Linked DNA regions of Drosophila melanogaster. The protein of the gene in region 4 interacts with the protein of the main gene of each other region in a pairwise test. Each region holds a gene or a part of one and is shown on either strand. Other genes may lie near its edges. The genes, in order: CG6664, CG15728, vir-1 and Nnf1a.

Region 1 (6,778 bases), on a different chromosome or scaffold from region 4:
TCTTCTGAGTCGTCTTCTGCTTCTGCCTCCTGACGACTATGTTCACTCTGATTATACACACCGTAGACAAGGCGCATCAGGTTTTTCGACTCCGAGTGACGTTGGAGAAAAGCATCGCGGGCCTTCTGGGCCAGATTAGTTTTCCAGCTCATGTTGCTGGCCAGGACGCGAGCCTCCTCATCGTCCGAATCGGATTCGTTGGATGTTTTCACATTTCCCAGGCTTTGATATTCCTCATCGCCAGAAGAAGCGTCTTCCTCAGCATCCTCCTCCTCCTCACTGTTCTCCCCACGCCAATCGTCCGCATCGAACTCATCCTGCTGCTCCTCCTCACTGTCAGCGGCATCCAGACCAGAGTCCTCTCCATCGTCATCCTCATTCTCACTACTTTCCGCCTCTTCATCCTCCTCTTCGTCGTCTTGATCATTGCGGAAGTCCTTGGACTTGATGGGCTTGGCATCTGAGAATAGACGGAACTCCTGCTGTTCCATCTGTTCATCAATGGTGGCCTTCTTATCGATCAGCTTGTTCACCAGCTCCGCCTGCTCGGCAGCCTCAGCGGTCTGCTCCTGTTCCTTGTGCGAGTGCGATCCCTGTAGCTCAATGTAGACAGCATCCTTGTCGTAAACAATGCCACCGACTCCGGACATGGGTGCATACAGTAATCGCTCTTTCTCCAGCAAACTTCGCTTCTTTTCCGTCCCAGGCAGGGGGCAAGGATCGGGAATGACGTTTAACTCGTCGATGCGGGCATCCCCCAGGCCAGCTATGTGCACCATGTGTTCTTGCTTGAGAGGAACTCCTCGGACATAGCCATAGAGTACTACCTCGCGATCGCACTTAGGATCTCGGCGCACGCGATCTGTGTTTGTCACATCCTCGATGCGGTCTACCAGCAGATAACTATGTGCACCTCGCCACTGCAGCGGGCGAAACTTCATCACAGAGATAAATCGTCCCAGGTTTTTGACTTCGTTCCGGAGGTACTCGCCGTGAAGAAGTCCAGAAAGGTAGAATAGCTTGGCGCCATCGTAGACTTCCGTCCAAAAGCGGTGCTTCAGTTCCTTCTTTCGTTTCCTCAGCTGCTTGGGGTTCTTGATCATGTCCAGGTGGGTAAGTACGCCCATTATCTTGGGCATGCCGTGCACCTGGCAGATGTTCAGGAACTCAAAGATCTCCATTTCGAAGCCGTAGCTTGCGTCGCAGAGCAGCAGCACCAGATCGGCGCATTTGGCCACATCGATCATGGAGTTCACATCGTTGTTGCACTCCAGCAGGGTAATCCGGCGCTTCTTGGAGGTCACAATAGTAATGGGACCCTTTATATCGGTGACATTCGTCCGCGTAAAGCTTTTAATTAGGTCCTTGATCAGCGTTGTCTTTCCCACTTTGGGTGGTCCCACCACGGCAATCAGTACGGGTGGCGGTACGTTCGGAGTTTGATCGACAACCGGAATATGCTGCTTCTTGGCCGTAAGGTCCTCCTTGCGCCGGAAGTTCCTCTCTGCTCGCTGCGCCGAGTTGATGGCGAACGCCTTGGGATTCCTCTGCCTGGCGGTCAACTCGGGCTCCTTCTGGTTGGAGTCCTTCTTGGCCTTCAGCTTTTTCTTGTCCGCCTTCACGCCGGACTGGCGGGCGCGGTGCTGCTTTCGCTTGTCCTGGCCGGCATCGTCGGCCATTGTTACAGCCTTTAAATATATTAAATTATTAAATTATCCGCTGTTTGCGCGCTGCACGTGGAGCCAGTGTTGCCAGATTATGAAACAGCCCCAAATCAATTGGTTTCATCCAGCCCTGAATACATATCGTAAATAAATAGTACGATAGACTGACTATATTTTGTTTGTTGCGGCCTACGAAATCTATTGAGTAAAGTAATGGTTTTGAACGTATTATTTATTTCAGCATATGTTATACGCTACTAGGAATCATAAGCACTTTGTTTGTAACACGTATAAGCGTAACCAAAATCGCAATCGTCAAACTCATGAAAAATGGTATACAAATCAGAAACGTTTAAAACACAAATTAAGAAATAATTTATTTAGTAATGACCGTTTTTAAGTAAAATGTCAAATAATACACATTTCGACTTCCACCTTACAACGACAAGAAAGAAACTTACAAAATTAACGTATCTGTCTATTTTCTGATATATTTTGATAAAATTGTAATACAATTTTTGAATAGCATAATTGTATTGTTTTCCACCTCTACTGGTATTTCCTCAAGTGTCATCACTACCTCGCGGCGTTTCGCTGTGAGCGCTTTTTCGGTATTTCGCCACATATACGGTCACACTTCTGCACTGTGGATTTTTCGCAATTTGACTTTAATTTTATTCGATCGGATCGGGCAAAATGTACCGCACTCAGATCTGCAGGCCCTAAGCAGACGCCTAAGGTTCAACTCTACTCCGTTCGCAGCTGCATCCTTTCACCTGCGCAGGTGAAACGCAAGAACGGCAACCAGAGCCCTGGTGAAACAGAGTCGGCGAAGGAGTGTTCAAGAGGGGGGAGGAGCAGTGCGGCGGAAGGCAAAAGTCTTTTAAGGCGAAACAGCGCACAAAAGCCAGGTAACCAAAGATAGAATCTGGAAAATCGGACATTTTCAGCCGGTTGAAAGGGGGAGGCGTAATCCCACATGTGAGTTGGAAGTCACTGGCAGTGGTGGGCTGTGGGTGGTGGTGGTGGCGATGGCGATGGCCTGCCAGCCTGTGCAAACCCTTCCTTCGCCGACCTTGCCCTTCTATCGATTTCCGAAAAATTGCATCAAGCCAGATGCACAGAAAATCACAGCTGAAGGTTAAACTTTTGCATCGGATCAGGGCCAAAACCAAACACCACCACCGACCGATTTCTTTATTCTTTGTTCCTCACGGGGCGCAGACGAATTCAAGAATAAAGAACAGCCAGTCGCCACATATATATGTACTCATGCACATATGTATAATATATATGTGCTTAAAAAGCGACTGGCATACATTATTTCTCGTCATACATATATGTATATGCTCAAAAAACGTAATGGCACTGGGCCATTTACCTTTAGTTTTGCAGGCATGGAAAGTCCCTGTGAATCCGAAAGTTCGCTGGACGGTGGCACCATGCTGCCACCAAGCCCAGTTTCCCGGGAGCAACTCCAGAAGAGGATCGAATCGCTCACCCAGCAGAACAAGTAAGTCAGACACTATTTTTAAAATGCATTTTTACCACAAATAATATGACTCTACGCTTCTAGGGTGCTGAAAGCCGAACTGGATACCTTCAAGACCAAGTGCAAAGTGGTGCAAGAGGAGAATCGCTGCCTCAAGCAAGCCTCAGTCATCATTGTTAGTACTACTTTTATGTTATATCAAATTGAAATTGAGTTTCACAAAAGTTGCCTCAATTTACCTTTGTTTACTTTCACAGCAAGCCAAAGCCGAGCAGGAGGAAGAATACATCTCAAACACGCTGCTAAAAAAGATTCAGGCCCTCAAAAAGGAGAAGGAGACTCTGGCGCACCACTACGAGCGCGAGGAGGAGTGTCTGACCAACGATCTCTCCCGGAAGCTCGACCAGCTGCGTCAGGAGAAGTGCAAGCTGGAGCAGACACTTGAGCAGGAGCAGGAGTGCCTCGTCAACAAGCTTATGCGCAAGATTGAGAAGCTCCAGGCGGAGACGGACAACAAGCAGACCAATCTCGAGCAGCTGCGCCGCGAAATGGTCGAGTTGGAGAACACGCTTGAGCAGGAACAGGAAGCTCTTGTAAACAAGCTGTGGAAGCGCATGGACAAGCTGGAGACCGAGAAGCGTTCGCTGCAAATCAAGCTGGATCAGCCGGTTTCCGATCCGACTACGCCGCGAGACATCACAAACAACGCCCATGCCAATGGTGGCGATACGGCCACCAGTTTGAGTGCTCATATCCAGATTCTGCGCTCCGAAGTGCTTCGCTATCGCTCCGACCTGGCGAGCGCTCAGAAGGAAGCCACTATCAAAACACAGCAGTATGCGCAGGAAGAGAAGTCGATTCGCGAGGAAAACGCTCGCCTTCAGCGCAAGCTAAAGCAGGAGGTGGAGCGCCGCGAAGCCCTATGCCGGCACCTCTCCGAATCGGAATCCTCGCTGGAGATGGACGAGGAACGCTTCTACAACGAGAACCTGATGGGAGGCGGTTCGTTCGCTGTAGCGACGGCAGCAGCCGCCGCCGCAGCTTCAGCGGTGAGCGCCCAACGTCAACGCACCATCAGCAGTCCCGTCTCCCACAGTCCCTCGAGTAGCCGACCTCTAAGTCCGGGCACGGCGGTGCAAAACCGCTGCTATGCCTGCGGCCAGCTAGTGGTGAGTACGATATTGTGAAATGTTGCTTTCCAGATTTGTAAAATTAAAAATTCTTCGTTTCAGAATCGTCGTGCCAGCGAACGCTTCATAAAGCCAGCACTGCCAACGCCCATGCTGGGCCTGAACACTTCCGCACCGAACGTGCTGACCTCAACCAACCCACTGCTGGGCATTTTGGGAACCGGCAGCTCCTCATCGTCCGCGTCCGTATCAGCTGGGAATGCCGCTGGCGGCTTTCTCTCGAATCTGGGAGGCGAACGCCTAAGCCTTGGCTCGTCAAATTCGGCTGGCGGCAGTGCCACCTTCTTGGCCGGCGGTGGAGGTGGAGGTCTGCTGGCCCAGCTCACTAGCCACTCCAGCGCTTCGTCGTCGTCGTCCAATTTGATGAACATCAGCCTGAACAACTCGTCCAGCGGCAATCTTGTTAACAGCAGCAGCAACTCCTCACTGTCGGCGTTTACGCCAACCAATCCGCCCAGCTCGGCGGCCACGGCCTTTATCCAGCCAGCCAGTCCAATGGACACGTCCACCTGCAAGGACTAGGAGGATGCAGTAGCTCTCGCACAGGGATACAGAAAAATCATGACTTATTCACACACTTTCACACGAAAACACACTATATTCATAAACACGCACGCATGCAAGCAACCAGTTTAACGATCCTAAAAACATAAGAAAACACAGAAACAAAAGATGAGAAAGTAACTATCGTAAGCTTCTCCAGGGCGACTCAAAGTCGCCACATTTATATATGGTTAATATGTATATGTATGTTCTATTTGATCAAAATCTCTTAAAACCTTTCAATAACGGAATTCCTAGGCGAACGAATATTTAGCGCTAATGTTTAAGATTTGAATGTTTTTCTAATTTCGCTCGGTTCCAGTTAAAGTTAAGTAAAACACAGCTAATAATGAGATATGGAGGATATAGAGGATGAGAATGAGGATGGACAGCACACGCTAACCAGATCGTATGAATTTATAAAAAGGGTGAATTCTATTCATGTCGAAACCATTTTCCCACAATTCCTTCGCATGTGGGCCTAAAAAATTTTGAAGTATGTTTATGTAAGCCAACAAAAATAAAGTTCAACAATTTAAAATTAAATAAAAATTCGTCCAGAATTTTTTTAAATTAAATTTTGTTTAAATTCGAGGTGCAAGGTTTTCAAAATTGTAGAAAGTACAACTGTAGACACTACAATATATGAATTGTAAACATCATCTGATAGGTTTTTTTAAAATATGTTTTCAGAAATAACATTTTTTTCTTTTGACGAACCACAAGAACAAGAATTTTCGAATTTCCGTTAAATGCACGACAAATGGTGGGGCAACACTTAAAGTATCCCCTAAAACTGCCTTCATACTTCTGCCACTTGGCGTGCACACACTGGCGCGCAGCTGCAGCTAACTTCGCGTTGCAAAATGCTCTTGTGTTGTTTGTGTTTGTGATTGTAAATAAAGGCCAAACAGTCAGCGCGAAGCGTTAAGACCAAAGACTAACCTTTGGGCCAGGCCAAAAAGCGGAGTGTAACACCTCGAGCGAGAGCAAACAAAGCCGCAAAGTGTTCAATTAAAATAAGTGACTTGACTTTGATCTGAGAACCGAGAGAAAGACGGTGAAATAGGTGGGCAGGAAGTGGGAAGTCAATGATAAATGACAACAAAAAAGTGTGTATTGGCCAAAAGAAGCTCGCATTGGTAGCAACGACAGAAAACCATTTACACACACTCAAACAAACAAACACAGATGGTGCTCTTTAAACGCTGCTGCCGCTCTCCCTCTCTTTCACTCACACACATTTAACGACTGCGACGCGTCTCTTGCAAACTTTTTAAAGCGGACGCCAGCGATATTCGGTTCTCATTTCGATGTGGAACGGTAAAGAACCTGTGTCGCTTCCGCAGCCGATTCGCGAAAATAACACAAAAATAGCCATATATTATTTTTGCTCAATCAAATAAATTCCACTGCAAGTGCGTATGTGTGTGTTTGTGTACAGGAAGAGATCAGATAGATCAGAAGCAGTGCAAGAAAGAAAAGTGCAAAGCGAAAGTTTTGGTTTTGATTGTGCAGCATCCGCCATCTCGCTCTGGCAGGCGCGCGTGTAACGGTAGACGTCTCTTTCGCCAACAACAACAGCAACAACCACTCATTCCAAGGAAAGCGAAAAGTGCGCCCTTGTTTGTGTGCGTGCGTGTCTGTGTTTTATTTCCATTTCCACACAAAATCAGAAATAAATTCAATATTCGATCTTCGATTCTGAGATTTCGATTGGCCAGATGTGTTTATTAACAGATTGCGGACATCGTGTCTTATTATGGCCCTATTGAATAAACTCTTCTTTCCGTCGGCAACACCAACAACACCAGCGAATTTAGCGGCAGCGCCCACGCTGACCGCAGCGTCCGCAGCAGCAGCAGCGCTAATTAATAGCCAAACAACAA
Region 2 (7,445 bases), on a different chromosome or scaffold from region 4:
AACAACTCTGGTCGCAATTATAACGGGCCAACGGAGCGCAGAGAGCGCATGAGCGGGGGCGTGCGACAGAAAGAGATGGCAGCAGTGCGTCCTGGCAAACGAGGATGCGATAGCACCGTCATATACAGTAGGGATTCCCTAGCACAAACTGAAAAGAAACCTACATCTAAGGACATTTCGATAAGAAACAGATATACAACATAGAGCATGCAACAATCATGCAATGTGATATATGAAGGAGAATGCAACAAACAACAACAAGAGCGTATGCATATATTTTGCAGATGACTTATTTCAATAACTGAGTGTGAAGATCTCTTATAATTCGCAACTAGTTCTGTCTCGAAATGAGTGTAGCTTCCACACTGTACCATCATATGGGCAGACAAATACTATGAAAAAATATTAAAAAAAAAAAATTAACTAGCGTAGATATATAAGAATTATTTTGCTTATTCAGTTCTTTCCATCGAGGATCGTCTGTAGCTACAGTTATATTTTCATGCCCATTTAGCTCGCTACACAAAAAGGAGGAGAAATGTTTAGCCACAAATTGAATCTGCGGTGAGTGAGTTAACGAGCGAGAGAGAGGTCTAGATGGATATAGTATAACCATGCCATAGTGTATGCCATACCATAGGACACCAGCTAACGCCAACCCAACCCAAGCCAACCCAACGAGGATATGGCATGATGATATAGGGGCAGACGACGTGGAACGGGTAGTAGTTTTCAAGTGGTGCAGAGCGGCACAGAACGCTAATTAAAAAGATACTTGATGGGAGCCACCGGAAACAAAACGGAAAAGCCAAAGAAGCGAGGCGGGCAATGCGAAAAAATGCGGGAAAAATGGCTGAAATGCGAATGAAAGGCAAAGGCGAATGGGATGGCAAGCAAGTTAACGTTGCCATGAAATCGTCTATGAAATGTGAATGTAATCTAATGAATAAAATGCATCTGCTAACCCCCATCATGCCAGCCACTTGCAGATACAGATAGATGATGGATGATTCTTTCACCGGTTTCCTTCGCGTTTTTTTTTTTTTTTTTTGATACCGCAAATTCTCACATTCATGCGGTTCATTTGCGCAGCCATTGAGATTTGAATGGCATTTTTAATTGGTACATTTTACGCAGCCATCCTTTGAGCACAAAGGCACCTCCTGCTCCACCAGCCCTTCTCCTTTGAGCTGGCCATCATTCAATTTGATTTGTATTTATTTAATGAGTTATTAATTGCATTAAGCTCTCGGCGTTGGAGAACTTTGCAACTAAAAAAAAAAAGGAATAAAGCCGGGAGAGTGGGGAAAAGTTTTTCGGCTTTTGCTCGCATTCAGGCTGAAAACTACGAAACTAAAGAGTTCGTACAATTTGCAGCTTTGAAAAAAAAACAACAGAAAATGCTAGTGCCAAAAGTGTAGCATACTTTTCTGCGCACTTTTGCCTGTGATTATGAATTTGGGTTTGGCCGACTAAAGAGGCGCGAGAACTTCAAGACTAGCCAAAACTATTAGCAAATCTAAATCTAAATTATATTTCCAAATTCCAAATTCCATCTTTCCATCTTACATTTGTTGCCTCTGTTACTTCATACATTTAAAATGGTAAGCAGCCCACGTAACATAAAATTATATTATATATATATATATAAATAAGTAAATAAATAGCAAGGTGTCAGAAATACAACATAAATATTCTTGAGATCTAAACAAATTGGACTTGTTAAAGTAATGATTGTTTTGGGCCGCATAAGTATTGTAAAATAATAAAGTTACCACAGAAGGCACTTGACTTTGGCCATGAATGTACTCACTTTACTCACAGGGGAGGAACTGTCAGTTACTCCCTGCCATTATATACCAATTTCAATTTAAATTCCAGCCTGCTGTGGCCCATCCGCGGGGCAGAAACAAAAATATATATATATGCATGTATATAAAAATAAAGGAAAAAAAATAGAAGTGAAGTTCGGAGAAACCGCAACAGCAATTCTCGACATAATGATTGTGTTGAGGGGCGATTATGTCATCATGGATGGGCAGGGCAAAAGGACTCGACACACTTGACTTCCGGTTGGAGGATGGCTGCGAGATGTTTGCCATATTGTGTGAAAATTTGTGTTTTCCCCCGTCCACTGCAATTGGCGGTGGTGGTTTCTCGTCTCGTTTTTGTGATTAAAAATGTTTGTCATTATCCGCTTGGAAAATCGTCCGAAATTGTGTTTGTGCCGCGGGCCGTGCCACACTTGCTTATTTCAAATCTGGCATCTTTATGCCTAATTGCCGCATTGTGTCCCATTGTGCGGCCATCGAACCTGTGGATTGAATCGAATCGGATCGAATCGAATCGAATCGTCTCACAGTCTCAGCCTCGAACCCCGACTGAGCCATACAGGTTGCCTCTGGCTAAGAGTCCATGGCTAAGGGAAAGCCACTGACTATGGCTTTCCATCGATCAGTTGCAATTTGTTGCAAAAGCGAATAGTGGTCAGCGGAATAAAAAAGATACCCATTGAAATATTAGTGAGCTCCTTGATAATTTGCTAATAATTGACGAGGAAGTGAGAAGTAATTTCATTGTACAAGTGAAGTATTCTTCCGCCAAGCTAAACATTTCATACAAAACGTACAGGTATGTCCAGTTTTAATTACATTCATTACGATTCCTGCCCCTTTTGTATATAAACTTTGAGATCCCCATCCATGGGGATGAACTTTATGAGACTCCTGAGCTCCTCGAACTGCATCTAGATATTTTAGAATTTTTGTATCTTTTCGTTTGATTGCTAATGATATAGTGAATCTCAAAGCATTCTCGCTTGTGCCCACCAGGAGCATATTGATCTCAAGGATTCGCTTGAACTTCTGGCACTGATCAAAAAGATCCCAAAGCTTTCTTTTTTGAGTTTTTCTTTGGTGCAATTTCCAGGTCATCACTCTCTTTCACGCTCCTAAGCTCCTAGAACTATCTATATCTATATATTTGGAAATTTATGTATATCTTTTTTTTATTGCTAATGATATAGTTATTAGAGCATATTGATCTTAAGGTCAAAAATAGTCCTAAGCTGTTTAAATAAAGGTTAAAGTTGGCCACAGCACTTACATATACATACATACAGGAAACTCTGTAAAACATGAAATTCTTTATTACTTGGGCACTTTTTCTTCATTACCCCCATCTTGCAAATTCTTTAAAACTGTTTCTAGTTACACAACGCATATAATTAATAGAAAATCAATATGTTTACCTTACCGAAAGAAATTCGCTTAGTATCATCAGGGCCGACAGAAATATTAGACTTATTTTCTTTGCAAGGGTCTATTCGATTTCTTATGTCGCGTCTTGCAAAAGTGGCTAATTCTCAGATGACATTTCGTGATAATTGGTGGGTGGAACGGTTTGGATTCCACTTGCACTGTGGCTATCATTTGTATACATACATCATACTTTCCAATTGTGTAAACAACAACTTCATTAGTAAACAAAAAGTTCGCTGGGTGGTTACAGAACGCAAATCCTAAGCCCGAAAACCGATTCCCTTTCAAATGCCACAAATCAGTAAATAATGACATGAAAATCTGTTGGCTTTTGTCAGGCCCCGCGGCCTCGAAGACCGAAAAATGAAAAAGTTAGTTGGATGGGGGAGGGTTTTCGGTTGCAAAAGTGTTGAGACAAGTGGGGTGGACAATTTGCCTTAAATTAGGCGTAAAATGCACAGATTGGTTACAACAAACAGCGCACACAAGCGGCTCATCAGTTCGGTCCACCCTCAAAAATTAAAGGGTAGCTACTTGCCACTTGTCATCACCATCTTGATTATTATTATCATCGCCATCCGACGGGAACCGGATATGATTGTTAGTATCTATTAGCACAGTTGAACCTCCAAATGATGGTTCCATAAATAATAATACCAGTCTTGTCATTTTTTTTTTTAAGTAAGATAAATAACTACAGTAAAATTTTTCTTATGATGAGCAAAAATACTCAAATGGAAAATGTAAACATCTTTTCAATCTTGTAGTAAAATAAAAATGTAAGCATCTTTTCCACTTACGGATGTTTGACTGTAATTGGCCTGGTCTGCGTTTCCCGTTCAACTTGCTGAACAACCCTCGCTAATTGAGCACTTTTGTTGCGTTTAATAGAGGGGGATTCTTGGGTTTTTACACTTGACGTAGATTTTTAGCTGGACGCTGATATAATAGATCATATTATGCTATAGATGTTCCCAGTTGATTAGCATACAATCGCTTCGCAAGCAGTGGCAGCTAAATTGAGGTTATGTTTGCAAGCAGTTCAGAAAGAGAGGGTTATATGTTGCCTACCCCTTTGCCATTTAAATTTGATCAACAAATACATGTGCATAATTAAAAACAAAAAGGAGAGCATAACACACACACACACACACACAGAGAGATTGCAAAAAAGTTGTTAATCTTTTCATGCCGACGCATAATTAAAATGTGAATATGGAAATTTCAATAGGAATCTGTGCAAAAAATGCCCCAAAAAAATAAAGGGGGCGATAAAAAAGCAGAAGAGCAGAAAGAAAAGACCAAGCAAAGGACGCACAAACACACACACACACACAGAAACTTAACGGTTTCCTGCTGTTATGGCCATCTTGCTTGCACCTCTTGCGCTTTTTACCGCCAGTTCGTTTGCGTGCGTGTGTGTGTGTGTGAAAGCAAGTAATTGCGAAATATGAAATATGAATGCATAATGAGCAGATATTCGCCAAGTGTGCAAGAAACTTGAAGCGGCGATGGGCGTGGCAGGTGGAAAAGTGGGAGTCGGAAACGGAGGCCAGGTGACTTTTATGCTAAAATGCGCACATCGCGCGTGCATTTGCATTTTGCCAGCCTTTTCGAAAGCAGTGCAAGGACAAGCACAAATACACACAAACAAAGGCGGGCACACACACAGGCAGGAAAAATCATAACTACAGTAAGCGTCCGATAGCAGCGACTCCTCTAAGTCCTTCAATTTTATGCGATTCAACTAGAAGTTCAACACAAAAGTGTATTTTGTCTAAAAATGAACATAACTATATAATTATAATATTTTAATATATTATTACAAAAAATTAATTTTAAATCATGGAAGATGTACATAGGTTCAAGGTTCATGAATTCAAATCAAAAGCTTCATAGTTAATTCCTAGACTTTTCAATTAAAAGTACCCACTTGCTGATTTCACTGTACTCGGCTTGGCCAAGATGGCAGCCAAGTGTGTTTGAAAAACATGTCAAAATGTTGTGGAGCTCATTAAAATAGCGTTGGCTATTTGCACACATCATATCTTTCAGTCACTAATTTGTAGAAGGAGGAGGAGAAGGTGAAGCAGCAGCAAATCCTTGAAGGCGCCTTTTCCCTGTTCAAAAGTAATGCATAACTCCCTTTTTCCAGCTTTTTCCTCAGATAAAATGGCAGAATACAACATGAGCCACATGGTGCGACCCCAGGGATTCAGTTTGGAAGAGCTGCGTCAGACTATGAGTCGATCGGCGATTCGGGAACAATGCTACTTTATTTATGCCACCGGCAATATTCTGGAGGTGATCCATATTCATATCATAATCACATTATCTAATTTATTCACATGTTCCGTTAGATTATATCTGGTTTTGATGAACTGCTCAACCAGGAGGGGATCCAATTCGGAGCAGATAAACTGGCTGCGGTGTATGTATGCGGTTTGATGGTTTATCTACTCCATCATGAGGACACGTCGGCCACCCAGGTGAAAAGAACTCTTTTCCTGCAAAAGTGCTTCAATTATATGGCATGCTCCGAGGAAAGCCATGTGAGTAAGCATATATATGTTTGAAATATATATTTTTTGATCCTTCCCTTTCTTTGCCCAACAGATCCACCAGGTATGCGTCCATGTCCTGGGTCTCTTGGATATCCAGAGTTCGAGCACAATGCTCAACCTGATCCTCGGCTGCCGCGTGGCCAGTCCGCTGTGCACAATGGCCAGCGTTGTGGCTAACTGTCTGCTCTGGGCCATGTTGGATCATATGTCGGACTTGGGCCTGGACTTGCACCGATTGCGTCCGGCTAACACACTGCTGCTCGTCGTTGCCGTGGTGAAGCCGCATATTTATGTAATATCCTATTTGCATTCCCTGCACCTGGTGGTCCGTTTGATATCCAGCATCCTGCTGATCGGACCATTCAATGCCCAGGGCCAGCAACTGTGCCAGGAGACCGATGTGCCGGAGGATTATATGAAACTGGCCAGGGACGATTGTTCGATATTAGTTCGCTGGCTAATCGCGATCGTTGATGAGCTGCGTCCGCTGATGGTGGAGAACAACGATTTGGGGCATCTGCATGAGCGCCTGGTGCTTTTGGAGTCCATATGTGAGCTTATGCAGCTCTTGCATGGCCATTTGGTTAAGTGTTACCAAGGCAAAAGTGGACCACAATGTAAGTAATAGCGAACGGAAACAAAGAAATCTGTTATAAATTCAGATACTTTGATGAGAAGAGAATTGAAATCTTCAATAACTTAACCTAACCTTTGAAACTTATTTCAAGAAACAATCGCATCGTATATATATGCAATCAACGATTTTATTATACACAATAAAAAGGCTCTAGCTTTAACTATAAAGTTACGAGGAAAACTCTAGATTTTGCAATTTTAATGATGCTACTTCTAAAAATGCAAGCACTTAGTGATTTGAATATTTCGTGTAAGCGTAAAAAGCTCTGGTAATAGTCCTCCTGAACTATGTAACTATTCATCCAAAACGGAATCCAGCCATTCCTCCACACCGTTTTTGCTTGCTGCCGATGAGGGTGTGGCCGGCTGCACCATAGGCATTGGCATCGTAATGGTTCCAGAGCCTATATCCAGTTGCGTATCGGTCATGGCCAATAGCTCGTCAAGTTCATCAGGTTCAGCTGCTGAGGCAGCAATTGGTTTTTCCGCCGCTGCAGGGGCAACGTCCTTATTGGACTTAGCAGAGGGAGCTCGCGACTTGGCGCCCCCATTGGCGTCCTTCAGAATGCACTGCTGGTAAACTGCCTCAGCCCGTTCGGCGGCCTTCTCTTGGGCGGCAATCTGAGCGCGGGTGAACAAAGACGCCGGATAATCCATACGCTTGTATAACGGAATCGTTTGCAGACCCACATTTAGGCGGGTGAGGTTCAGGGTGAAGTAAGCACTGGCAGCCTTGGTGTGTAGCTTGGTCTGGCCCTCGGCCACGTTGGCCCATTCGCGCTCTGACCCAAAGGTGAAGTGGCCGCCACCGAGGCTGGGAAACTGGGCCAGCTGCTGGAAATCGCCAGCTCGTAACTGGGCACGGGCATTCTCATCGATGGGTGCACCATCCAGGCCCAATTGCTCCACATCGTCGGTGTCGCTGGGCAGGGTGTCCAGCATGTCCCTGTTCCGTTGCGGTGCCAACGATGAGCGGCCTGCTCCA
Region 3 (5,811 bases), on a different chromosome or scaffold from region 4:
ATTAAGCAGTCGGCTTAGATTTCTAGGAAGAACAGATAAAACTTTAAATGTATCTGTGTTATCAACGTTTAGTTTAGTTTTAATTGAATTGTCAATTAGATAGTGTTCTTACATATTCAGAAATAAGACTTGAATTAATCTTCAATTAAATGACCACCAATTTTTCATAACCAGCTTATTGCCCCATAAAAAAACTGTGAGTATTTCCACTTCATAACAATTGCAACTGATTTAGGCCAGACACAAAATGTTAATTATCTCACTATATATCATACAATTTAACCAAAACATTTGTATGGGCTCGAAAATTAACTTCAATTTGCATAACAAAATATCCGTCTAAATTAAACAAATTGCCCGTCTATTCAGCGGCAAATGCCAACAATGAAAAATACATGTAATAATTCACCAATAATTTTCATAATTGTTTTGAGTTTTATTACTCCACACATAGTTCCACGTACGAGCAGCAGAAATTCGAAAAAGGAAAAAAAAAAGTGATTTATGTGAACATGCAATTGCAATTTGTTCTGGGGCAGAGAAAGACATTCCCTGGAAAAAGTTCTTAAAAGCGAATTATGGCCACAATTAACCCAATTCTTTTGGCCATGGGACACTGACATGAAGCGATCTCATAAAAAACCAAATTAAGAAAAATAAGAAAACAAAACAAGCGAAGAAAAGTGCTCAAGAATTTCACTTGCAATCAGCCAGAGAAATTGGGATGACTTGAGTGTATAATATGACAGTTCATTCAACCGATTCCGAGTTTGTTGAAGAATGTAACAATATTAATTTAAATTTGAAATATATAATCCAGAATAGATTAGCCTGCAGATAAATCCAGTATATCCACAATTATCGTGATTTAATTGGTTACGTAAATTATTTTAATTGGATATGATTCTATTCTCAGCATGTTCAGATCGCAAATCATTAATAATTAAATAGAGAAAACAAATGTTTAAACAGTACTAATCTGACTTATATGCACAGTAGTTAGAGTAGCTACTATGTGTATTTTGAAATATGTAATAAAAAACATTGTCTCATCAATTTACGAAATATTTCATTGCAATTTCAAGCACTCATTGCTAAGATGATTCTCAAGCAAGATTTGCCGAAAAATTGTGATTCACGAGTGTTGCATAAAATTTGTATATTCCTGGCAAATGATTTGGACAGCAACGAATTTGACAACTTCAAGTGGCTGTGGCAGCTGCCAACCCGCTGCCACGCCCACTCCCACCATTCCGCCCATCTGTGGGGGTATCTGCGATTCGCTGGCAGCTTCTTCAGCAATTTATGCATTCAAGTGGCAGCCAAAGGCAGCGAACAGCAAACGCTGATGATGACAATAAAGGACGCTGGATCTGCGATGCTGCGCCGAGCATTCCTGATATTTTGCCATTTGTAGTTACTTGTGTTGTATCTGTAAGATGCATTTGGCTGATTGTCAAGTGCCACGCTTTGTTATCAGCATGCTGACATCATTATCCGGCAAAGGCAGCGACTTTAAACTTTAATCTGCTGCAGAGTGGAATTAAAACATTTTTTCATATCCAACAGATTGTATTTACTAATAATTACGTATTATATGCATAATAATTTATTTATATTGCTCCAAGTCACAATTACATCGAGGTAATCTTTAAGATTCTACCAGAATATTCCAGATCAAGAAGGTATAAGAGGAACGTACTACGTAGAAGAGTGCAAATCAGAATTCCCGGTGCTTATCAATTTTCTTTGTTTTTAAAGTCAAAAGGTTGACTGTGTTTTTTAATAACTAATTATGTGCACATAAAAATGAGAAAGTAAAGAGAAGGAAAACAAATATGTATGTTGCATATGTGTACAAATTGCATATTAGTTAGTTCCGTTATACGTATTACTTAGGGCAAGTTAACATTTAGTTTTCAAGTATTAATCATTTAAATGTTAATTTATGAAGTGCATCATGATTGGATTGCTTTTAAGCCTTTCACTTACCTGGCAATGTGAAAACGCCGCTAAGGGCTAGCACGGTCATCAGCAAACCGAACAAGAGCTTCATTTTTGTTTGGTTTTTTTTTTTTCACAAGCTTATAATTTGTTTAATTTGTATAGTTTATTTAGGGCTGAAAGCTTTGATGCGTTGATGTGGACCGGCAACCGGATTCGATTCTGTTCAGTTTTGTTCTGTGCGGAAAGACAAACAATCGTCAAATGCGCTTAAATGATTTGAGGAAGCGGCAAATAAACGGCGGCCGGCTGAGTGAGTGAGCGAGTGAGAAACCGAGTGAGTGACTAGCTGACCGCTCTCTTGCTCTCCCTCTCACTCAATTAGCCGCTGGGCTTATAAATATTCCAAATGGCAGGCGGCAAGTGTTGTGGGAAGAGCGCTACACTGTGCCCGTCAACTGGGTACAATATTTGGGGACTCCACTGTGTACAGAATGCAGCGTATTAGTAATGTTCTTAGGCACATTTAAGTTAACTTTTATTTTCGTTACACCTTTTTGTTTCCGTTATAGCTTACTGGTTCATTAACTATTGTATCTACTACTATAAAAAATATAATATAATATAACTTTATCTTTATAATTATATATATATAAAAGCAGTTCTAAAAGGGCATTTGCTACTAATATTTTAAAATTTCGATTAAAAGGGTGTTTGAAAGTCGCCGTTGCTCATTGAACCTTTTGTAAATTTAGTTGTGTTTTCAATTTACTTAATCAGTTTTTGTCTATGCTTCGTTAGCTGCACGCGGGCTTCTCTATTCCACTATATTTGTATTTCAGACTTTAAATGTGTCCCTGTCACAGTTGCTGAATGTTTCAGTCGCCCCATTCGTATTTCAATTCCACTTCGATTGCATTGTATGGAACTATGTCTATTCAACGGCTGCTCGAATCACCTGTTAAATGCGCTTGGTGTTTAGTTCAAGGTTGTTGTTTCTGTAAACAAAAGCATCATTTGCTTATTTCCCTAATGGGCAGCTATTGAGAATTTTCTTCCAAGGAAATGAAAACGGAGCTAAAGACTATTCTCAGTAATTAAATGGTTATGATAGAGTGCTTCTTTTTAATTCCATCGATAAAGTAGTCACGCCTTGATTGAGCCGGGTTTAATCACGATTTTACTAACGAATATGCCAAAGATCGGCAATTTATTGGAAATCTTTAGTTAATCCGATTATGAATGATCTTTTTGACCCGAGAGAACTTACGATATAACACCCAATTACAGTTCTGATAAATATAAAAAGCCGTAAAGAATTTGTATAATTATACACTGATTTAAATCTAGAATGTATTATAATCTCAAAATGAACTGGAATTTTTGCACATCAGAAAATTATTTAAATATCTTGCCCGACAGTAAATTTTTCAAGGTCTTCAAAATTAGCAACTATAAACTTTAAATAGCATTTTTAATGTCTGATAGTTTTAGAAAGCTATTGTTTATGTTGGGCTCAGCATAAAAGTGAGCACAAGTAAATATTTCGCAAACAGCTGCGTGAAGTAAATTAGGCATCCAAATTATTGCCCAGACAGCCTAAACAAGCTGCAAATTGTTTGTTTGTAAACATTTTTGTCAGCGCCGAAGCGGAAATTGTTCACGCACACAATTTCATTCACATACACATGCCGACAACCGCGAATTTGCATAAATTTTATTATTGTTACCGGTGTCATACAGTTATTTCTGTGGATCGCTTGAATCACTCGATTTCGAAAGATCGGAGAAGAACGCGCGATCTTCAACGTGCGTTGGCTTTAATGAAACGTTTCGGACTAAACGGTTGCGTACGATTTTGGCTTCATTTATACCAGCTCACGTCGTTGGCACTCAAAAAAAAACAAAGAATTGAGAAGAGAGACCGGGAAAGGGAGGAATGCGCAGAGAAGAATACGAGAGCGAAGAAGGGTCTTCCGAGTGCTCCAAATGTGCATTCAACAATGTTTTAATTAAAAAAAAAAAAGAAAAATAACTAAAGAACTTTCAATTTTATATTTTTACAACAGATCCACTACCAAAGATGCCCCATCCTGTTTACCCAAAAAGTAGCAGAAATTTTACAAAAAGAATATTCATTGACACGTCAGTGGGAGCAAAAATGAATGTCGCCAGCGGAACGCGAATGTCCTCCAGTGCAGTCCCTTGACCAAAACCGTTGGAGTTCGAGGTGTATGTATAAAAATCAGAAATTCAAAGCGGATGGCCGACAGCGCCGAGAAAGAGGCGGGGATATAGTTAGCGACAAGGAACGCGCGCCAAGCTACGTTCTTGGATTGACAATGAAGTCCACCTGCCCCCTTTTACCTGAACTTGCCTCTTGGGAGCCGTGTTGCTTTATGGTTTTCGACCAGATTGAAATCGCGATCGGCGCAGCTACAGCTGTTAAAATCTCCTGCAGGCTGCTCTTCATGCTCTACAACTTGTAATTCTTGTCGTGGTCCCACGAACCGGATTCTGTTTTAACTACACTTTCGTTGGTTTTATTCGAACTGCTATTTTCGTTTTACTAAATACAGGTTTGATTGCACTATGCCTTTAAGTGGCAGAGGAGCATTTAAAATAAATTACCATTTTCGGTTAATCGTTGACACAACATTCTTGCGGTCGAGTCAATAAATTCCCCAAAAAACAAGATTTGGTTGTCAAGGCTTCGAAGTGAGAAGAATTTGAGTCAGCTTAGTCCTACATATATTTAAGTGAGTAAAGCTTGGCTTTTAGGACCAACGATATTTTAAAATATCAGATTGACTTGTTTTTAAATAAACTATTTACAATGCTATGATCTTCAGGTAAATATCGTAGTATATTTTCTATTTTTTTATATATACTAATTATATATATTTTTCTTTATCATTTGCAGTCTCTTAATTAGTCATAAATCTTTCGAATTTAAATTTAGACACCGGATGACAGACAGAAACACTCACAGATTATAACGAAACGTGCTCTTGACCTTGACACTGTTGGAAAAAAATGAAGTACCCATATTCAGATATTTATTTTAGGATTGAATATTTTTAGAATGTTTTAAATTTCCTTGATAAACTTTATTCTTGCGCCATCTATGTACTTGCAGAAGACGCTGATACTAGCGCCACCTGGCAGCAGTAGGTTCTTAACATTTCTGTTAATTTTACAGAGCTGGAAATATGCTGGCTGTTCGAACGAGAGTTGCCAGATGAATTTAGACGTTGCCTTGGTAACGGTTTTCACTTGATTTTATTGTCGAAATAAAATAAATAAAGAAGGAAAACAAATATAAGGGACTAAAATAAAATAATAATGTTTCGTCGTGGAAAACTATCCTTTCTAAACACCAAAGATGACCGTGTTAAAATAATAAACGAGCGCATAAACATAACAGAAAGGCATCTAATGGAGATGTGCTCTTCGTTTGCTTTGGTAACGCGGAAAATGGCCAAGTGAGTTTGGTAAATAAATAAATCTGAATGAATAATCATAAGACCTTGCAGATATCGGGACTCCTTTGATGAGTTGGCCAAGAGTGTGAAGAGCTACGCCGACGACGAGGAAATCAACGAGAGTCTCTGTCAGGGACTGAAGAGCTTCACCAACGCGGTTACCATAATGGGTGATTACATGGACATCAATGTACACCGATTGGAACACAAGGTGAATTATCCTTTTTTAAATCTGCATCTTATATCATATTATTGACTTATGTAGATTGTCAACGAGTTGGCGCAATTCGAGCAGCTTTGCAAGTCCACAAGGGACAATCTTCGACTGGCTGTCATAGCGCGGGATAAGGAGGTACTACGTCAGCGCCAGATGCTTGAGCTC
Region 4 (4,191 bases):
TATTCACCAACTTAATTACGCTTGAAAAATGAGCATAAATTATGACCATATTTTCAAACATTTTACTGCAGAATGTAATGACTGAAAGATACTTTTCCTTATGTGCAAAAAACTTATGAGAAGCAAAGTTTTTTAAACATGGTATTTAACTATAATTATTGCATATATTATTCTTATAATTTATTCTTTTTTTTACTGTGTGTTAAAACTAACAAACAATATGAACATGATTTTAATATGTTAACTTGTTAATTTGAAAGTGCCAGAAATCTGCGGGTAGAATAGTATAGGTGACTGACTCTTTAGTTCCATGGAGCAACAAATACCAAGAGAATAAACAAAACGAACTATTTAGGTGTGTCTCTGAAATATCTTACAAGTCAAATTTGGTGTCATAGAAATTTTGTAAAAAGAATTGAGCAAACAACTGAGATTTTCAACAAGTCATGCCTATTGATTTGTTAATATAATATATATTTAAATTTTTAAGCAATACTATTTACAATTTGTTTGCTGACCAATTTGGAACTCAACACATTTACGTGAGAATTCAGTTCAATGTCAACGAACGCGTGCAAATAGCCGCGAAATATCTTTGGAATTGCTTCACTCGAAATAAACGCTAGAAACAAACGAAAAATACCTCGGCCAAAAAAGGCAAATAAAAGCGAATTTTTTCGCAAAACTGGAAATCTAAACAGAGACAAAGGAGATTCGTCACAATCGCCAAAGAACGAAAAGCAAAAGTTGCAGAATTGCTGAGAAGATTTGCAGACGGAAGAAGAAGAGAGCTGTTGTTAAAAAGCTGCAAATGCCAATGGGTTAATGAGGGGGAGGGGGGCAAAGAGAAAAGAAGAGGAGCAATGAAGAGAGGGGGGAGGCAAGTAGGTGGTAATAAGCTGCACCCAACCAACAAGCGAAACAACAACAGTTAGCTTCCATTTGTATTTTTCTCTCTCATTAGCCTCTCTTCGCCATTTCCTCTGCCTCTCCGTTTTCTACGTACCTCATCGATTGATGCTAAAAACTATGAATAAAATATAGGTTAGGCCTTTTCCTTATTTGTAAAAAGCCAACGAGCGTTGAACTCGTCTTGTAGCGTGGGAGTTTTGCTTTCGGAACAACGAAACTATTTTGTTTTGATTTTATCTCAGCGAATTATAATGAAATTTATGCACCGGTGTAACCGCGTGGAGATAAAAGAAAAAGGGAAGCAACGAAACGAAAAGAAAAGAAAAAACAGCAAATGTGAAAAACAAAACAAGCGACTAAAGCGATGGGCCAATTATAAAAACAACAACTATGCGACTCTGTACTTTAAGTAAAAGCCGGCATGCGTGCGAGCAAGCGAGAGAGGCAGAGAGAACAGGGCGGCAGAGCGAGAGAGAGCTAGGAATATTTCTGTGTGCCCTGGTGGTTGTAATAAAATGAAAGGAAGAAAAACTGTAAAACTCAAGCGCCGAAGCCAAAAGAACGATTTTGGGGGTGTAGTTAAAAATCACACTATATTGCTATAAAAAATCGGCATGTATTGGCGAATCTTTTTCTTAGAAATGTATTCAGGAAAACACAAGACCACACAACACACACACACATTGCTTTTAGCCTGGTTTATTTGCCTCGCAAATTCGCTTTTCATTCGCGTTTCCCCAGGCAAAAGATAAAAAAAAACTGTAGAAGAAAAACTCACCTATCGGGATGCCTTTGTTTTCCTTCAGCTACGAAGACTTTGATGCCACCGAACTTAATCACTTAACTTTCAATTGGTATTCAACACGATTTTGTCCGCCACTAAACACTGGCTGGTAAAATATTATTCAAAATATGTATAGCACAAACACACTAGAGCTGAGTTAAAATGCACAAAAGTTAGAGAGGAATTGGAAAATGGCGTATCACCCTGTCATCGATACCTGGACTATCGATATATGATGGTTGAAAACGGTGGTTTAACACTTATTCTTAAAAATACTGTTCGGTGGTATTTATTCATTTTGTTTGACATTGTAATGTAAAAGGCACATATTCTCACCATACCGCTGAATGAAATATATTTATATTTTCAACATCACTTATGTTACAAGGGACTTATGAGTAATAAGAGCTAGTGGAAATACCTCAAAAAAAAACCAATAACAGGGTTGTCACCATACTCTATAATTTCTATCGGCCTGGTGTTTTGCAGAAACTTGCAACTGGTCACACCAATGTGGCATTGTTTTGTTTTGTTTACAATTTGAATTTACTAACAAATTATTTCAATGGAGGATTCGGAAGCCGCATTTAAACGCCACGAGGGTGTGGGACCAAAGGTGAAACAGGCCTACGAGGAAGCCATTAAACAAATCTTTGCCGACTTGAGGTAAGCAGCAGGCATAGTTAACATGATAACGAATATTAAAAATCGTTAATATCTAGCTGCGCAGATCTGCAAGCGTGGGATGCCATTTACCAGGAGCACGAGCAATCCGCTCTGGACACCGAAAGCATCGTAGATCGCACTCGCAGTCTGATGACCAAGGTTGTGCTCGAAATGAACCGATGCTTTTTCGCCAGCAACGATGTGCCAAATAAGTTGCAAACTTTGGAAATGCTCAAGGAACATTTCGCTGCCTACGAGGGCAAGAAATGGTACATGTGCAGCATAAAACATAATACGATTCGATTGCATTGCTAACTCTACTCTACTCTATTGTAATCTATAGGAACGTGAACACTGCAGCACCCGATAAACTCACTCGGCCGCTGCGCATGCGATTTTTGGACTTCAGCGTGGAATTCATGGAGCAGCAACTGGCCTCTCAGGCAAAAGAACTTGAGGTGCGATTTGGATATTAGTTAATCTTTGTACTATTACTGCACTGTTTTGAGTGTACCAAAAGATCCCTAAAGTTAAAGAACCTTCGAGAAGATTTTTAGTTTAATAATTTCATTTCTATAGTTTATCATTTGCATATACATATGTACATATCTAGGTTTGTTATTCTATCAGTATAACTAACATTTGTTTATATTTCAATTACAGATTGCTATGGCCAAGAGCAATGCCAATCGCGAGCGACTCCAACATGTCCATGACAAGCGCCTGAAATTGACTGTCCAAATGGAGCAGCAATTGTCGCAGTACGAGAAAGTTAAGACAGAACTTATTAAACTAGGCGAAGCATTGAACGACTTCTGACAAACTTAAATGCAATAAATAAATAAAATACTACGCTATGAGCTTAATGATTTGAGTGGGGGGTCTTAAAATGGAAATTCATACAAACTAATCTGCATATTCATTAATGTACATACATATGTATGTACACATGCATTTGTCATTGACATTCACAATTTATTTAAATTCGTATCATTGCAATAAGCTCATAATATTAACGAGCAATTGTTTGTATTGGCGACAAAAAATCTTTTAAAATTGAATGTATATACATACATTTCAAGTTATCTCTATAAAGAATACGATAAATAGTACGAAGTTTTTAGCTAAACATGTGTAAACTTATGTATGTATGCATGTGTTTTTTGAGTGATTTCTTAGAATCGCTGTGTGCTTACACACTCCCATACATACATACTTGATTGCGTAGTATAAATCAAAGGAATGGTATTAGTGTAAAAAAGAACCGAATTTTTGCTAGATCTTCCTCAAAAAGTAACTAATAATATACATTTAAAGATGTTTTTTAAAAGATTCGTTTTAATTTCCCTTGTGAGACTGCACTCATTATACAGATTTTCAGTTATATTTTAAGGCAATAAGGACATTGACTCTTTAAAGTGAGGTTATGTGATGTGTGTATTATTGAAATTGAGCGCTTTCGCACACACAAAGAAACACACTTATTGCATATGTGAGTTTGAGTGCGGCCCATTCCCACTTGATTTCAAAGGTCATCTTCTAGCACTGTCACAAAGATTTCGAGTTCAATGGAATTCAGCAGTCCGTTCTTTTCGATTTGACCGTCGACGGAGAAGGAGCTTACATCTCTTGGTAAGCCATTTAAAATGTTGACAAATCTAGACATGATTTTCCCAAGTGCCTGGTATCAGCAAAGTGTTATTTTTTATGTTTATGTAAAGTACACGTTTCTGGTACTAAGTACTTCGAGAAAGTTACCTGCGTAGGATATCAAAACTATCACTGCAGTTTCAGGCTTTTCCCAACTACACCTATTAATACATATTTTA

Evidence for each region.
Region 1: the proteins of Nnf1a (region 4) and CG6664 interact in a two-hybrid assay, tested with the Drosophila melanogaster proteins (one large-scale study listed by BioGRID).
Region 2: the proteins of Nnf1a (region 4) and CG15728 interact in a two-hybrid assay, tested with the Drosophila melanogaster proteins (one large-scale study listed by BioGRID).
Region 3: the proteins of Nnf1a (region 4) and vir-1 interact in a two-hybrid assay, tested with the Drosophila melanogaster proteins (one large-scale study listed by BioGRID).

The regions. Positions count from the first base shown.
Region 1 is NT_037436.4:17,011,540-17,018,317, reverse strand, and holds CG6664 (uncharacterized protein), read left to right. Parts: upstream 1-2,137; 5' UTR 2,138-2,575; exon of another isoform or gene 2,576-2,645; intron 2,646-3,051; exon of another isoform or gene 3,052-3,059; 5' UTR 3,060-3,061; coding exon 3,062-3,177; intron 3,178-3,240; coding exon 3,241-3,331; intron 3,332-3,413; coding exon 3,414-4,325; intron 4,326-4,388; coding exon 4,389-4,868; 3' UTR 4,869-5,432; downstream 5,433-6,778. Other genes in the region: CG7728 (uncharacterized protein), read right to left, coding at 1-1,679; CG3764 (uncharacterized protein), read left to right, coding at 6,652-6,778.
Region 2 is NC_004354.4:12,621,801-12,629,245, forward strand, and holds CG15728 (uncharacterized protein), read left to right. Parts: upstream 1-2,491; 5' UTR 2,492-2,631; intron 2,632-5,292; exon of another isoform or gene 5,293-5,344; intron 5,345-5,415; 5' UTR 5,416-5,432; coding exon 5,433-5,564; intron 5,565-5,620; coding exon 5,621-5,812; intron 5,813-5,876; coding exon 5,877-6,449; 3' UTR 6,450-6,645; downstream 6,646-7,445. Other genes in the region: Aven (apoptosis and caspase activation inhibitor), read right to left, coding at 6,755-7,445.
Region 3 is NT_033779.5:12,419,649-12,425,459, forward strand, and holds the start of vir-1 (virus-induced RNA 1), read right to left. Parts: upstream 3,792-5,811; 5' UTR 3,675-3,791; intron 2,215-3,674; exon of another isoform or gene 2,182-2,214; 5' UTR 2,057-2,181; coding exon 1,993-2,056; intron 1-1,992. Other genes in the region: Fam92, read left to right, coding at 5,290-5,429, 5,481-5,640, 5,695-5,811.
Region 4 is NT_033778.4:20,585,244-20,589,434, reverse strand, and holds Nnf1a (Nnf1a), read left to right. Parts: upstream 1-2,196; 5' UTR 2,197-2,261; coding exon 2,262-2,362; intron 2,363-2,418; coding exon 2,419-2,631; intron 2,632-2,705; coding exon 2,706-2,820; intron 2,821-3,025; coding exon 3,026-3,181; 3' UTR 3,182-3,213; downstream 3,214-4,191.